2 linked regions of the Schizosaccharomyces pombe genome follow. The gene in region 2 interacts genetically with the main gene of each other region. Each region holds a gene or a part of one and is shown on either strand. Other genes may lie near its edges.

Region 1 (5,332 bases), on a different chromosome or scaffold from region 2:
CTGCGTCAATGGACGAAGAGTTTGCAAAACGAAGGGTGAAAAAATTGTTAACCATATCTTTGGCTGTATAATGATCAATCCGATAAATTTCTTCCTCTTTCCAATGCTTATGAACTTCTTCTTTGAGTTTAACAGCCGATTGATAGTTTTTACCAAACGGTTTTTCAATAACTAACCGCGATTTTCCTGGTAAATATAAATTCTCATATATATGAGAACTGACTGTCACGTAAACAGATGGTGGTAAGGCGATATAAAAGATACGAAGTGCTTTCGAAGAGTCTGCTTTTTTTTCAACTGATTCTAGGTGTTTTCGAAATTCCACATAAGAACTGCTCTGATCATACTGACCACTGAAGTAAGATACTCGGTCAATGAAGTCCTGAAACACCTGTTTGCTTTCAGTATCTGGCTTCACAGATTCACGAATACTTTCCCTGAATTCACCGATAGGTATCTTACTTCTAGCATATCCAAGTACGTAAAAGGAAGAACGATCTACCAGGTTTCGTTTGAAGAGATGGAACAGGGCAGGGAATGTCTTTTTGTTGGCGAGGTTGCCTGATGCACCAAATACCATAAAAGTAACCATTTTTGTTTATAAGATGAACTTTAACTGTAGAAGAGCGAGTGGGCGAAAACTAATATAGCAAATAACAATAATGTATGGCAAAACTAAAGAAATAACTTCCTATTAATAAAATCTCCAACAAAACAATAATCAAATAACGAACAGAATGGCTGAAACTTTGCGTATATTCGAAAGGAATACGCGATGAATAAGTGCTTTACCAATTCAAGGTTAGCCTTCAGTACAGGAATGCTTTCAAGATATCAGAGAGCCTTGGGGTAAAATTCTCAATTAGAAATAATCAGTGCCTTCCCATTGATGGACTAACCATCCTTTAAATAATAAGACCAAAACGACTTGGGTTTAGAGTATGAAATCATATGCCAAGTAAAACATATTGCCTATGACGATATATTAGGTAGCCTTACGCATGCAAAAATAGCTTCCCAATGTTATGGTTTAAGTTGCATTAAGCTGCGGATCAGAGTTCGCATAGAAATATGCTATAAGGGTTACAGGAGTTTGGCGAAAGCGCTGAGCAAGAGCTTTTGTATCGATCAGAAGTTTGAGAGGATAGACAAGTTGTGTAAAAGGCATTGTAATCCAATTCTTTTTTACATCTTTTGTGCTGCTGAATTAGATCCTACAACACGCGTGTAACCGGGTTTGTTTAAAGTTCTGCGGCGGGGTGGAGCCTTGAACGATTCGATTGATAAGCAAAACTTACCTGCAGTAGTAAAGAAAGGCAATTAATATAAAAACTTACAACTCTAGAATAAAAAGGTGATAACCTTGAATTATTAAATTCGCACGAACAATAAAATATTGAAACTCAAACGAGGATAGACGGAATCGTGGGATAGTTTATGGTTGCGGTATTATCGAAAGATGTCTTTCTGATCATCATCAGTGCCGATACATACATACATCACACGTGTCGAAAAATCGAGTAATAGTGAGTGGTCTTTAACAAATAGCAAAAGAGCATTAAATAATAACTCCCAAGAATATAGGGCGAAAGCGATTTGTAAGAGAGAACATCCGTAGAAATATCGTTTTGTTCAGTTAGCTATAAACGACACATTACTAAATCGAATGGTTGAGATACAGAAAATGGATGTTTTTTACATTAAGCATCTCAATTAGGTGACGGATTACGCGAAAATACATTCCTAAGACTTCTACTTTAAAAGAGAAATAATTGAATATTCATTCTATGGTATAAACAATCAACTAGCGAAACGTGCATTACTTGGCCAAGCAATGCAATGCATGGGCGTAAACAAAAAAAGCCAGTTGGTGATTCAACTCAAAATTGTGCAATCATTTGCACTGTTTCAATAGATACTATTCGCAAAGTCTTACTTGCGGAAAACAGTCTTGAAGAAAGTCTCACCTTGAATTCGTGCAATTTCTAGTTCATCATCGGATACATTACGAGAACCGTCGGCTCCAGCATAGGAACCAGCGCCCCAGCTGGAGCCGCCATGAATGGACTCAACGTTAGCCATGAGTGAAAATGTATTCTTATAGCCAAGAGGTACAAAAATCATTCCATGATGAACAAAGCTGGTCATGGCAGTAAGAGCAGTGCTTTCTTGACCACCGCCCAAGGTACCGGTGGAAAAGAACTGACCAAAGTACTTTCCATGCAAAGCACCTTGCACCCATAAACCACCAGTGGAGTCCCAAAAAGTACGGAACTGAGCAGGAGGAGTGCCGTAGCGTGTAGGATAACCGAAGAGGAAGGCATCATACTGCGTTAAGACATCGAGTGTAACAACAGGGTAATTGGGTTTGGGTGCAGCATGCATCTTCTCCAAGATTTCAGGACTCAATGTCTCGGGGAACTGATAAATGACAGCTTTTCCACCAGCTTTCTCAATGCCAGCCTTTTCGGCCTCAGCCAGTTTGACGACATGGCCATAAGTGGAATAAATCACAATAGCGACGGTGTTTGCGGTAGACATACTGGGTTTAATAAAACGCTGGAGTAATAAAATAACGAAATCGAAGCACGACAGTGAAGAATGAAGCTGTGATTGAATTTCTTTGGAACGTTTAAAAATATAGGGAATTTTACGTCCTTATATAGATTTTTTGAAAGCCTCCGATGTGTTTTTTTTTATTTCCTGTTTTTTTGGGACCAGCGGTTGATTACCAAGATTACGTAAACTACCTTTGGTTCATCCTAGGATTGTGAAAATTGAACCATTTCTGACTAATCCTATTCAAACAATGATTCTATTATTATTTTATTTCTTTCTCTCTCATTCATGCTCACTTTAGATCAAACAAACCGATTTTGTGCTTGAAATACTTTCATTCCACAGGTGTTGGCATTTGTTATTACCTGTCCCATTTTCTGTAAACTGAGGTTACATACTTTGGCTCGCTTGATGAGTTTTTGGTGTTGACCTTTTGTATCGCTATTTTCATCTTTGCTTTATCGATGTAGCTGCGCCACTGTTGGCCTAAGTGGGGGACTTTGGGTTTCTCTATAGCTTTCCTACTAACTTAGTACTGGGAAAATAACATGGTTACGGTCACCTCTAATTTAACACAACCCAATGGAAAACATCGGTAAATCGATAAAACGTACGCTATTTTAAGTGCAAAATGCATTGATGGTCAGCCAGTCCATCATCATCCTTGGAAAGTTTTTGTGTATGCAAGGAATTGGTCAGCACTGAAAACAAAAGAAAACGGTTATAGAATGAAGTGTTAAACCTCTTCCCTTTCTCATCATAGTATCAATTTTAAATCAATCAATTTCATATATTCATATGTAAAACATCATACAGGATAATATTCTTGAGAAATTTGTAGGTGCTAAAAGACAATAGCAAATAAATCGCATAATCAAAACAGAGCGATTTCTCAAGAATGATTAAAAAAGAAATAATAATTAAAAGTAAAAAACCAAATAAAAAGATGAACGAGTTGTAATAAACTAAGCAAATAAATTAACTAATTAAATAAATAATTAATTAATTAAATAAGCAATAAAAAAAAACCCCAGGAAAATAAAACACAATGATATTATACAATGCGTTTAGGATCACGTCTTAATACAATAAAATTCGATTCTTAAAAAAAAAAAAAAAAATTTCAATGGATTATTAATGTTTATTGCAAAATCTTTAATAGGAAGATTATAGCAATTCAATCGATGTTCAATACAAAACTGAATACGGCTTGCGTTTGAAGATTGTATAAATTTCCGATATTTAATTATTTATGCAGTTTAAAGCTCGCATTCTCTTTCGAGTTGACACTGGCAATTTCATTATTTAACCTTTTCAACCCTAACTGAATATGATATTCTTTCCAATTTAAAGCTATTTTATTTATAACCAATTTTCAAAAAATAAATAAATAAATAACTAAAGTCAATTCACTAGCCCGCTTAGTGCACCTCTCAAGTTGAACAAAGAATAAGAAAAATAGTACTTGCCATTTAGTAATAATAAGTTGGCATAGACGAGACAACGTAGTAATTGTTGAAGGAATAAGGAACTTTTAGGTTTTTAGATGACGGTTCTACAGGAACGAAAAACTTTCTACCATGTTCATTAGACCATCGCCTTAAGAAATGGGGAAGTGAACAAATGAAGGACCGATTATGAGTAGCAAGCTGAAGTATATCTGAAACTAGATATAAAGGTGTGGGAAACACATATTTGACGGTCTCATTTTGAAACACGTGCCCAATGTTAGAAGACATTTTTTTTGTAGAAAAATCATTTTCCATACTTAAAACAGACGGTGCATTGATTCCAGGCAAGGATTTGTCAACGTGACACACGTCCATCAAAAGCAGACTGTGGTGCGGAAACTGTTTTGACAATCGTTCAAAAAATCTAATGGCTTTCGTAGGATAGTATGTGAGTTTTTGCGTGCTAAAAAAGGACCAAAATACTTGTTTAACACCGGAAAAGTACCGTTTAGCCCTGCTGTCGCTAAACCCTTGCTGAACATTAATCCTAGCTTGTTGAAATGCTAAATGGTAATTCAAAGAGCTAACTTTTTGGTGAGTATTTAGAGTGAAGAATTCGTTTAAAAAGTGCTCTGGACCAAGCCAGCACCGTTCCATCATCATGGCGCCGTTACTCTGACGAAATAAATCATGACCGAAGGAGCTAATTACCTGTAATGCCAATACAAAGCAAGGATTTGTATCAGTATGGTTCCACGTTAATGGATCACTAACATATATATCAATATGATCTCCATGCTTTGCATATCTCACAGATGTCAACATGCTCTTAAACCAGCTTGCTTGCCAAGAATTATGCAAGACTATATTGTATGTAGTACGTCCATAAACTTCAAGGTGATTTTTATAAAGATAATCAAGAATATCCAATGCTATTATTCCAGTCCCAGAATGAAAATCATATATTTTCAAATCAAACACCGGGAAATATCGAAGTTTATACTGCAACACCAAGTAGTTACTAATGGACTCAGAGAATAGAGACCTTTGCTTTTCATAGATGTTTAATGCCTTTTGAGGAATAGGTATTCCATGCAAAAAAGGATCAAATTCTTTGGAACATTTATGCCCTTCTTTCCTTAATACATGTACAGAATGGCTCAAATTATTGGTTGAGCCTGTCCAAAGTCGAGAATAGTAACCCTTGCTGGGATCAAACGTAGATTCATGAATATAATCGGCTAACGAAACCTTAGAATCGCGGTGCAACAAAAATCCATTATCAGTAGTATACCATCTTCTTGGGCCATGCAAAACTAGAC
Region 2 (9,590 bases):
CTGCTCTCGCAATGTACCCAATTTGGCAACTGCCTGAGCATGACGAGAGCGAAAATTAGCAATAGCAGAAGCAGTTGCGGCATCAAGCTTCAGCTTGCTAGCTACACTAGCCCAATCAATCGCCTTTCCAGCAGCGCTAGCAACTTTCGACATTTGCGTAAATAAAGAAGAAAAAATTCAAAATTCAATAAAATAACAGTTATATTGTTAAACAATTTAACTGTCTTATAAATATTTCCTGCTTTTGGTTATGTGTTGAAGAGATGGGGGTAGTTGGGGAACGGATGATTTAGCATTGCCAGAGCCATATTGCCAGGTGGTTTGGCTTTCAGCAGTAGGCTTCCTTAATGGTTCAAAAAATATCATATAATTGGGTAAATGAAAGCAACAAGTACAAAATTACTACAAAAAAAAAAATTAAGCGGTTAGAATAGAACTTGTGCCCTACAATTAGTATACGCTCCACTCATTCTTGTGCTAATAGAAATTCAAAGTTAGCTGTAAATTTTGATTTACCGGTGTATCACCAAATCACTTTGTACTTCTCATGTTTAATTTAAGATTTCATTTTTGAATGTCGAGAAAAATTATTTAGTAATTGGTTTATTGATAATTTATAAATAATATAAAAGAATTACCATAGTAAAAAGGAAAAAGAAAAGTTCTAAACATATTGCCATAACTATAGTTACTCGCGTAAACGTGCTTCCAATTCTGCTTTACGAGCTTTACGAAGCTGTTCAACCTCATCTTGACTAGTGTTATAGCTCACATTCATCTGAAATTGTTAGTAAAAATGATATTTACAATGGTTTTCCTGTTTAGGGTTTATACATGATATGGTCATCATCAAAAAGAGTATGCATGTACCCTTATCGCTTCTTACCTTATTGAAAGGATTGTCCGGATGTTTCTGAAATTCTTTATACATTATGTCTTCATATTGGTTTAAACGGAGGCCCGGTTGTTCTTTGCGTAGTTCAGGCAAACGAGATTGTTTGTATTCTGTCAAAGCTGCTTTAAACCGACGTTCAGGATGACGATCAATTTTATCTTTGGACGATGAATTGTTTAAACTTAACAAATCCAAAGCATCATCAATATTGCGGGCACTATATGAAGCTGTCTGAGGGGTTTCGTTGAGGAAAGCGTCTAAAGATGAATTCTTCTTTGCAGCCTTCTTTGACCCCTTTCCTCCTTTAGATGGAAGACTCTCCATTTCTTCTTTTTCTAAACGTTCACGTTCAGCTTTCCTCTCCAACGCAGCTTTTCGTTTTTCAGCTTCTTGCTCCTTTTTATTAGTTTTGACGCCCTTGGACCATTTTTCGTCTTCTTCAGCGTCTTTTTTTTTCTTTTCCTCGTCTTGTTTTCTAGATTTTGCCGCTTCGGCCTTTTCTGCTCTCTTTTTTGGATTCCCCATATCAAGGCTATTAATGGTATGTGAGATTTGAATGACTTGAACAACAGGTGATTTCTATATGCCGCCTCGTTATAAGAAAGGCGACGAAGGATGGATTAATAATCTGATCTGATAATTTTTATAAGTGAATGTCTCGTTATATCTCCCTATTTTTATCAGTGTATTTACAAAGGTGTATTGATAACACTGAACAAACGGCGTCAAACGTTGGTATGTAACTGAATTTTTATCACTAAAATAGAAAATAAAAGTTCTTAATTGGAAATCTGCTACTATTTATTTCCTTAAATGCCTTGATGCAGGCTAAGGGTATATTGAATGGTATAGACACTGCATAATACACCATAAATCCTTTTTATGACATGATGGCATTCTTAACAGTGATAACTCATTAAAAAGAGAAACAAAGTCAACCGATGTAAATTGATCATACTCTTCAATTACAATATTATATCATGACAATTGTTATGGACTTCGATGTGTATTTCATGAAGTTTGAAAAAGTAAAATATATCATCAAATTAAATGCTTATTCTTGCCAAATTATTCAACAATATCGTACAGTGAACAATTGCTTTCAAGTATTGATTAGTTTATTGTAATCTATATAAGTATTAAACTTCATCTTCGATACAAATAACGTACAAACTAACATTCCGATCATCTTAATTGTTAAAGGAATTAATGAATCTATAATTCTAAATTATTTTTTTTAGCACTTAAATTTACTCATCCTATTATTTACATTTACAGTATACGGTTTCTTAACGAGTATACGCTATTATTATGCCGAAACATGAATGCATATCAATTTTGGTTCTACCAGCACTGTTCCTCTATTTTGAAGGGTTTATAAGTTAAAGTCAAGTAAGCATTACCTCTGATTATTATTTCATTTTATATCAAGTTCTTAATCAACGTTCTTATTTTTTTAATTCGTGTCTCTATATTTTGACAATTACTTGAAAACTTGTCATACGACAAAGGTAAAGAAGGAATTGCTAGCATTTATAGCTTTAAAACGATGTATATTTTCTATTAGGGATATATTGTTATATTTTTGACTCTCAACGAATACTTCGTACTCGGTTCCTTCGATTGCTGTTTATCCTATCTGATATAAATTTGAAAATTTGAATTAGACCCTATGCTAACATATTCTTAGTTACATGTATATATAGAATTTTTTTTCGTTTAATTTTATTTTTGAAAATTAAACTTTTTGATCACCTTTCGTAAAAGTTCCTTTCGATGAGCTTTCTGAATTCTTGGAGAGCTGTTAAATATACAAATAAGCCTAAGGAAGAAGACATCAAACTCCCAAATTCTGCATCAAATCTTCCAACTACTGTACAAGCATGTGTGATACAGTTTATCTCTTCTCTAGTTAGTCCGGTTCACCCTCAATTGCTTTCGCCTGAAGAACTAGCAAAAGCATTTCAAAACTTTTACAAGCATACCGATGAGTTTATTGCTTCAACCCTTATCCCTCAACCCTCTTCAAAAGATCAAAATGTGCCTCTTTTGTTTCCTGAGGAAATAGATGCTCAGAAAAAGGCGAGACAACACTTGCTGAACCAAAAAGATGAATGGATGGACCAAATTGAAGATATAGTTTGCGAATATTTGTATGATCGGTATGTGATTACTTCGCCTACAATAACTGTTTACTAATATTGTGTTAGGATTTTCTGTTTATCTACAAGTACGGATGCTGCCAAAGATGACTTGTTAAAAAAATTTATTGCTTCTGAAGAAAAGAAAGAACTTATCAATTGCATTCCAATACCTGATGATGAAAAACTTACAAACCGGTTACATGAAGTCTCTGAAGCATTTTTTGCTCTCGATGAGCAACACACACCTAGATCGAAAATAAACACTTTTATGACCGTTAATTCAAGTATATTGAATGCCTCTCAACTTCCTCAAGAAGAATTGAATGCTGATTCTTTATTAAATTTGACCATATATTGCATTCTCTGTTATCCCGGATTTCATTTAATATCGCACCTGAATTTTGTGTTACGCTTTCGAAATGCAGATTTTTTAAGCGGAGAGCAAAGATACTGTCTCACAACTTTTGAGGCAGCCCTTACTTTTATTCTTCGAGCTTGTCCAAATCTTTTAACTCAATCGTCAATTCAACCCTCTGATGATCCTCTTTCACTTGAGGTAGCTAATAGCGAAACAGTTTCGACCTCTAACTCGCTTCATGATCCGAGTGCAGAACCCTACCCTGTGAATCGCTCATCTTTATCTAATTTAAGAAATCTGGGACTAGCACTTGAGAAATCTTATGCCTCTCTACTTAGTAAAGTAGCCAATCACACTGCCAAAAGTTCAGAAGATTCTTCCAATTCTGTAGAATTCGTGGGCGACCCACCTTTGGAACGCTTTTTGACTGTTTCTGATGCTAGCGATCTTAAAATCGGTGAAATTGAACTTCTTCTTTCTGACTATAAGCGCCTCGCACGTTTGCTTTTTGAGAAAAATGGTAATCAGTAATTTTGACTGAATATTTTCTTTAAAAATTTCACATCCAGTTGGTTTTCGGCTTTGTTTATGGTTATTTGATTCATTTGAGAGACAAAGTCATATAGAAAAGTTATATGATTGATCAATATTTTTTTTTTCTTTGTTGCAGGTCAATTCGTGAACAGCTTAAAAGTTTAAAAGAAAATTTTTATTCAAAACAAGGATTGATTATTCCTTGACGTCTATTTTATTAATGTATGAATATCACAAAGAACTAGCAAAAATGATTTAAGCTTGTATGTTGACGCAAAGATTGCATGCGAATTAAATCCTTACAAAGGAAATATATGAAACGAATATATCATGTTACTGCAAAATTTTTAAATATACTGAATAAAATGAACTGTGATTCTTTGCTCAGTGAAGAAAATAGTCATATTTGAAACTAGGAATTAAACACACAATCACAAACTTCGGATTATAATGGGTAAGAAAGTTTTTTAAGTTGTCACATTATATATAGTAATGTTTAAAATATATTTCGGATAATCATATATATCTTAATTACAATAAAGAAGCGTGATTTTGGTACATGAATTTATATACACTTTCAAAATATACGTTCATTTTTTTATTTAAAATTTCTCTTAAGGCTATTTTATTTCAATGCGATAATCGAGTGCTGTGTGGACATCAAATGATTGGTTGCACTAAATGTTTATAGTGAATAGTGTAATTTACTTCCTTAGAAACCTAGATTTTGAAAAATTGCAGTCGCGCTTTAATAAGTCTACTTCGAGAGTGAGAATGCAGCATTAGCTTGTGGTTATGGAAAATGACGAGGCTTTTGATAGATTAATAAGAAAAATTCAGGAAAATCAAAAACACCCATCTTTCGAAGGGTCCAATAAAGTTTTGCATTTGGCGCTTTCATACCTAAATACTAACAGACAAAACCCTCATTGGGTTTGTGATCCTAAATTACAAGTAGCAGTTCGTGAATGTCTTTTTCTATTTTCTTTTCAAAATGATAACGAGTATCTGGTATGGTTCAAAAAACATTTGAACGAACGCCTTCAGTTATGCCCCAAATGTATAGTTAAATATCACCAATCTTTAGATGATTTCAAAAGTCTATGTTTAAACATTTTTCACTTTGACCCAAATACTCTTGAGATTGTAATGGAGAAAATTTATAGTTGGGACATTTTTCGGTTACAGGAAGTTCTCAAAACAGTGCCTAAAATCGACACGTCCTCGGCCTCTAAACCTATACTATGCGCCTTCTACGAAATCTTATACTCTCCTCGTATTTTACATAATAAAGAAATCTTTCCCTTGTTCCGAAACAGATTTCTTGAGTCCGGTTTTCTTCGGCTCTCGAAAAACCTAGTGCCAGGTGTCATAAGTCTTCTCTTCTCGAGAGATGATGAGCTCCGAAGATGGGCTTGCAGTATTTTAAGTGATGTAAAAACAATCTCCGATAATGAATTTAAAATCCTTGAGGGTCCCCTTCTTCAGGAAATTCGTTCTTTAGACCAGAAGAAAGAAAATGAGAACGAGATGCAAATTTTTCTGAAAGGTTTATCGTTGCTGTTAAAGCATGTTGATCATCTTTATTTTAGGGGACTTACAGGAAAAAATTTCAATGTCGCCGATTTTATTCTTTCGGGATTGCAAAGCGACCATACTAATTTATGTCCGTCTTTCCTTGTATGTTTACATTCTTTGTTATACTGCTATGGACGTAATTTTTGGACGCCAGAAATTTCTCCCAGTGAAGTAATAGATAAAATTTTTAATGGTAATGCTTATAAGAGGTGGACAGAAGAAAATACATCCAATTTTTCAAACGACCAAAAGGCAGAGAATCCGTTTGAATGGGCTACCTCTCTTTTGAAGACAATTTCAATCATTGATGAAGTTGAATTAATTAACAAAATTTTGATTAATTACACCATGCAATATAAAAAGGAACTGGAAGTCGGTTTCAAAAATGTTCAGTTACTTCAATCACTTGCTGACATATTTTCAGTTTTGTTTTCCGAATATTTTATGATTTTCCCCCATAGTGATCAAAGTTTACAAAACAAAGTATTTGAATTACATTCCACTTTAGCGATTAAGTTTGACGAGCTGTTTCGTTTGCTAAACTTGGAAAATGAAGAGTCTGTTGAATGGAGGCTTATTAAGAAAGTTTTTGAATACCGATTGAATTTAGATCTTTATATTTTGAAGCAATTCTATTGCCATTATTTGGACAGAAATAGAAAGCCACCCTTGAATATCAAATCGGTAAGTGAGTCTTTTAAAAATTTTTGGGTATATTTGCAAAACGTATTTCGAGAGGAGAAGTTCTTTATGGTTCGTATTGTTTTTCGTGCTTGCTCTACAGTTTGCTTGATTGATAAGTTGCCGCCTAAGAAAGTTGACATTCCGTTCAAAAGTGATTTCGAAAATGCACTAAACGGATTTGTTGCAACATTTTCTGAAATGCTTATTCAGACTCAATGTTGGCATTTGTCGGCACAAACCCAATTGGTTTCAAATCCTTTAACTTTTCGTGGAATCTTTTCACTCGTTTTTTCTCCAATTCTTGAGATCTCAACAGGAAGTATCTCAATTATTAAATCTATTTCGCTTTCTGACAGCGTTGTTGATACTATAGGAGAGCTATTGAGAAGCCAGTTTTCAAATACACTAAATTCTTCATGTTATGTTCTTCTGCAGTGGCTTAAAGTCAGAAACTTTGGAGGAGCCAAGCACATTGTTTATTTTAATAAATTAATTATAAACACTATTTTTGACTCTGTTGATGGCTTAACTTCTAAGGATGCGACTTTTGCAAAACAAGTGGAAAAGAAAGAATCCCTTAAGAATTTCTGGGAATCGTTATGGAAATTCTTTACTCATTTTTTCATTGTTCTTCCTACTTGGCCAGTTCATGATAAGGACAATTTAGTTGATTTAATGCGGGATACCCTTGATTTTTGCGATATGCTCATTAATATTTTTGAGGAAGTTAACGGATTCATTTTTGGATTATCGGATAACGATATTAAAATTGTTTCGGCTAATGATAAGGGCAGTGCTTTAGCTATGTGTATAGCTGATTCTTTGGTTACTGTATCTTATTGGCTTAAGTTAACTGATTCTTCACTTCTAACATCCGTTGTGAAAGTGATTTGTAAAATGCTTAAAATTTGTAAAAAGTTGGAGTGTCCAATTAGTCAAAATGTGATTGATATTATCCATAGGGCATCAATTACCAGTGATGAACAAACAATTCTTACATTCACTGAGAGAGAGGATCTTTTTATATCGCTCACACCATACCTTTCAGAAGACGTTCTTAATCACTCTCCTTTCAATGATACCAATACGCTTGAAACTAAGTTACAGAGTGATGATCGGGGTTTGCTTTCTAAAGACCAGACTATTGGGATTGCGAAAAAATTACCTGAGTCAAACATTAGTACTTCAAATCATTTTTTGCTTCCTCCGAAGGCTATTTCTGCTTCTAAAGCCATCAATAGAAATGCTCAAAAATCTCAAAATTTAAATTTTTTGAAATCTAAACAAGAGACAACACAGCGAATTCGCGAATCCGCGAAAGTTCCAAGAACCAGTGCGGGGAACCATCTTTCTGAGAAACTTAATTCGGATAATCATATACCAAAAGCTTTGCAAAAGCTCGATTCTGCTGACCCAATTCGCAAGCCTTCACTTTTGCACACTTCTAAAAGTTATTCTAATCCAGATGACAAAAATACTTCAACTTCCGATGAAGATACCTCGGAGTCCGAAGAAGAGTCTAGTAACGGTCTATTCTCGCTTGCACGTGAAGCTAATTCTCATGCCTCTAAATCTCTTCCACAAAGAAGGCAGATTCAGTTCTTGGACTTTGATTCCCTTAAAACAAAAAATGTAGTTCATCCTACTCAATTGCGCCGTAATACTCAACAAAGTGCACAACTTGCTCGACTCCGGCTAAACCCTGATGTTCAAGAGTTTTACAAAGTAATTTTGGGTTGGAACCCATTAGCTGATTCTTTTTCGGCGTCTAATGTTGAGATGCAGTGCGTCCAAGCTAAATTCACGTATAATGATTCAAACGCTTATGAGAAAGTTTTCAAACCAATGTTGTTTCATGAATGTTGGGCTCAAGTGAAAAGTGCCGTTGAAGAAAAGCAATACCCTCCCATAGATTTAATCCTCAACACCCGCAGTACAGTTGATAACTTTGTCGATATTTACTTTACGTCCTGTTCACCTACCGAAGTCTCTTTTTTAAGTGATACAGATATTTGCTTACTGTCAAAATCACAAAGTTCGGGCGATACTAATAACCCAAAATCTTTTCAGTTGTGCAAAATTCAATCCATTTCTCGTAAAAAAGAATCACTTGAACTCTGTCTGCGGATGAATATTGAATCAATTGATCTACAGGAGTATGCACCGAACATTAGGTTCACAGCACAAAAATTATTTAATGCTACTACTAGCTTACGTGAATTTGCTGCTTTAAAATCTCTTCGCCATTTACCATTGTCTCAGAGAATTCTGGATGCCAATGTAACGCGTCTACCTTCAAATTTTACAGATGACAAAAAGCAAAAAATAATGAAGTCTTATGGTGTAAATGAACCCCAGGCATATGCGATTTATGCATCTTCTGTAAATGATGGTTTTACGCTCATTCAAGGGCCTCCTGGAACTGGAAAAACTAAAACCATTCTAGGCATGATTGGAGCTGTACTTACTTCTTCTAGTCAAGGGTTGCAATTTAATGTCCCAGGACAGACGCGAAAAACCTCAAAGAATAAGATTTTAATATGCGCTCCTAGTAATGCAGCCATAGATGAAATTCTCCTTCGTATCAAAGCCGGTGTTTACGATCATGAGGGTATCAAATTTTTTCCAAAAGTTATTCGTGTTGGATTTGGTGACTCCATAAGCGTTCACGCTAAAGAATTTACTTTGGAAGAGCAAATGATAAAGCAAATGGAACTTACGAACCTAAAGAAAGATCAAGAAGCAAACAATTCCAGTGATACTCGGAAAAAATATGACTCAATTATTAAAAAAAGGGACTCTTTACGCGAAGATCTAGAAAAGTTTCGTAGTACTGGAAAAAATAGTTCAATATTGGAAGCACAGCTTCGTGAGATTACCAAACAGAAAAACATGCTTGAACAGAGCCTTGATGATATGAGAGAACGTCAACGCTCAACTAATCGTAATCTGGATGTTTTGAAAAAACAAATACAAAATCAACTACTTCAGGAAGCTGATATTGTATGTGCTACCTTATCTGCGAGTGGTCATGAACTACTTTTAAATGCGGGTTTGACTTTTCGAACTGTCATAATTGATGAAGCTGCACAAGCCGTTGAATTAAGTTCAATCATACCTCTTAAGTATGGCTGTGAGAGCTGTGTAATGGTTGGTGATCCGAATCAGCTTCCTCCTACTGTGCTATCAAAAACCTCTGCAAAGTTTGGATATTCACAATCTCTATATGTCAGAATGTTCAAACAGCATAATGAGAGCGCTTGTCTTCTTAGCATACAGTATAGAATGAATCCTGAAATTAGCCGATTTCCCAGCAAGTTTTTCTATAATTCAAAACTACTTGACGGTCCCAATATGTCAGCAGTGACATCTCGACCTTGGCACGAGGATCCGCAGC

Evidence for each region.
Region 1: of oxs1 (region 2) and obr1, changing one suppresses a phenotype caused by changing the other (phenotypic suppression), as found in Schizosaccharomyces pombe (one study listed by BioGRID).

Annotation. Positions count from the first base shown.
Region 1 is NC_003424.3:2,092,351-2,097,682, forward strand, and holds obr1 (NAD(P)H dehydrogenase (quinone)), read right to left. Parts: upstream 2,635-5,332; 5' UTR 2,542-2,634; coding exon 1,933-2,541; 3' UTR 1,760-1,932; downstream 1-1,759. Other genes in the region: SPOM_SPAC3C7.13C (glucose-6-phosphate 1-dehydrogenase), read right to left, coding at 1-592; SPOM_SPAC25A8.03C (uncharacterized protein), read right to left, coding at 4,032-5,332. UniProt on the Schizosaccharomyces pombe protein: Unknown. Target of pap1 transcription factor. Confers brefeldin A resistance in S.pombe.
Region 2 is NC_003423.3:2,558,264-2,567,853, reverse strand, and holds oxs1 (oxidative stress transcription coactivator/ribosome recycling protein Oxs1), read right to left. Parts: upstream 1,421-9,590; coding exon 887-1,420; intron 779-886; coding exon 689-778; 3' UTR 501-688; downstream 1-500. Other genes in the region: atp7 (F0-ATPase subunit D), read right to left, coding at 1-153; guanyl-nucleotide exchange factor Muk1, read left to right, coding at 2,672-3,057, 3,106-3,928; ATP-dependent RNA helicase Dbl8, read left to right, coding at 4,727-9,590.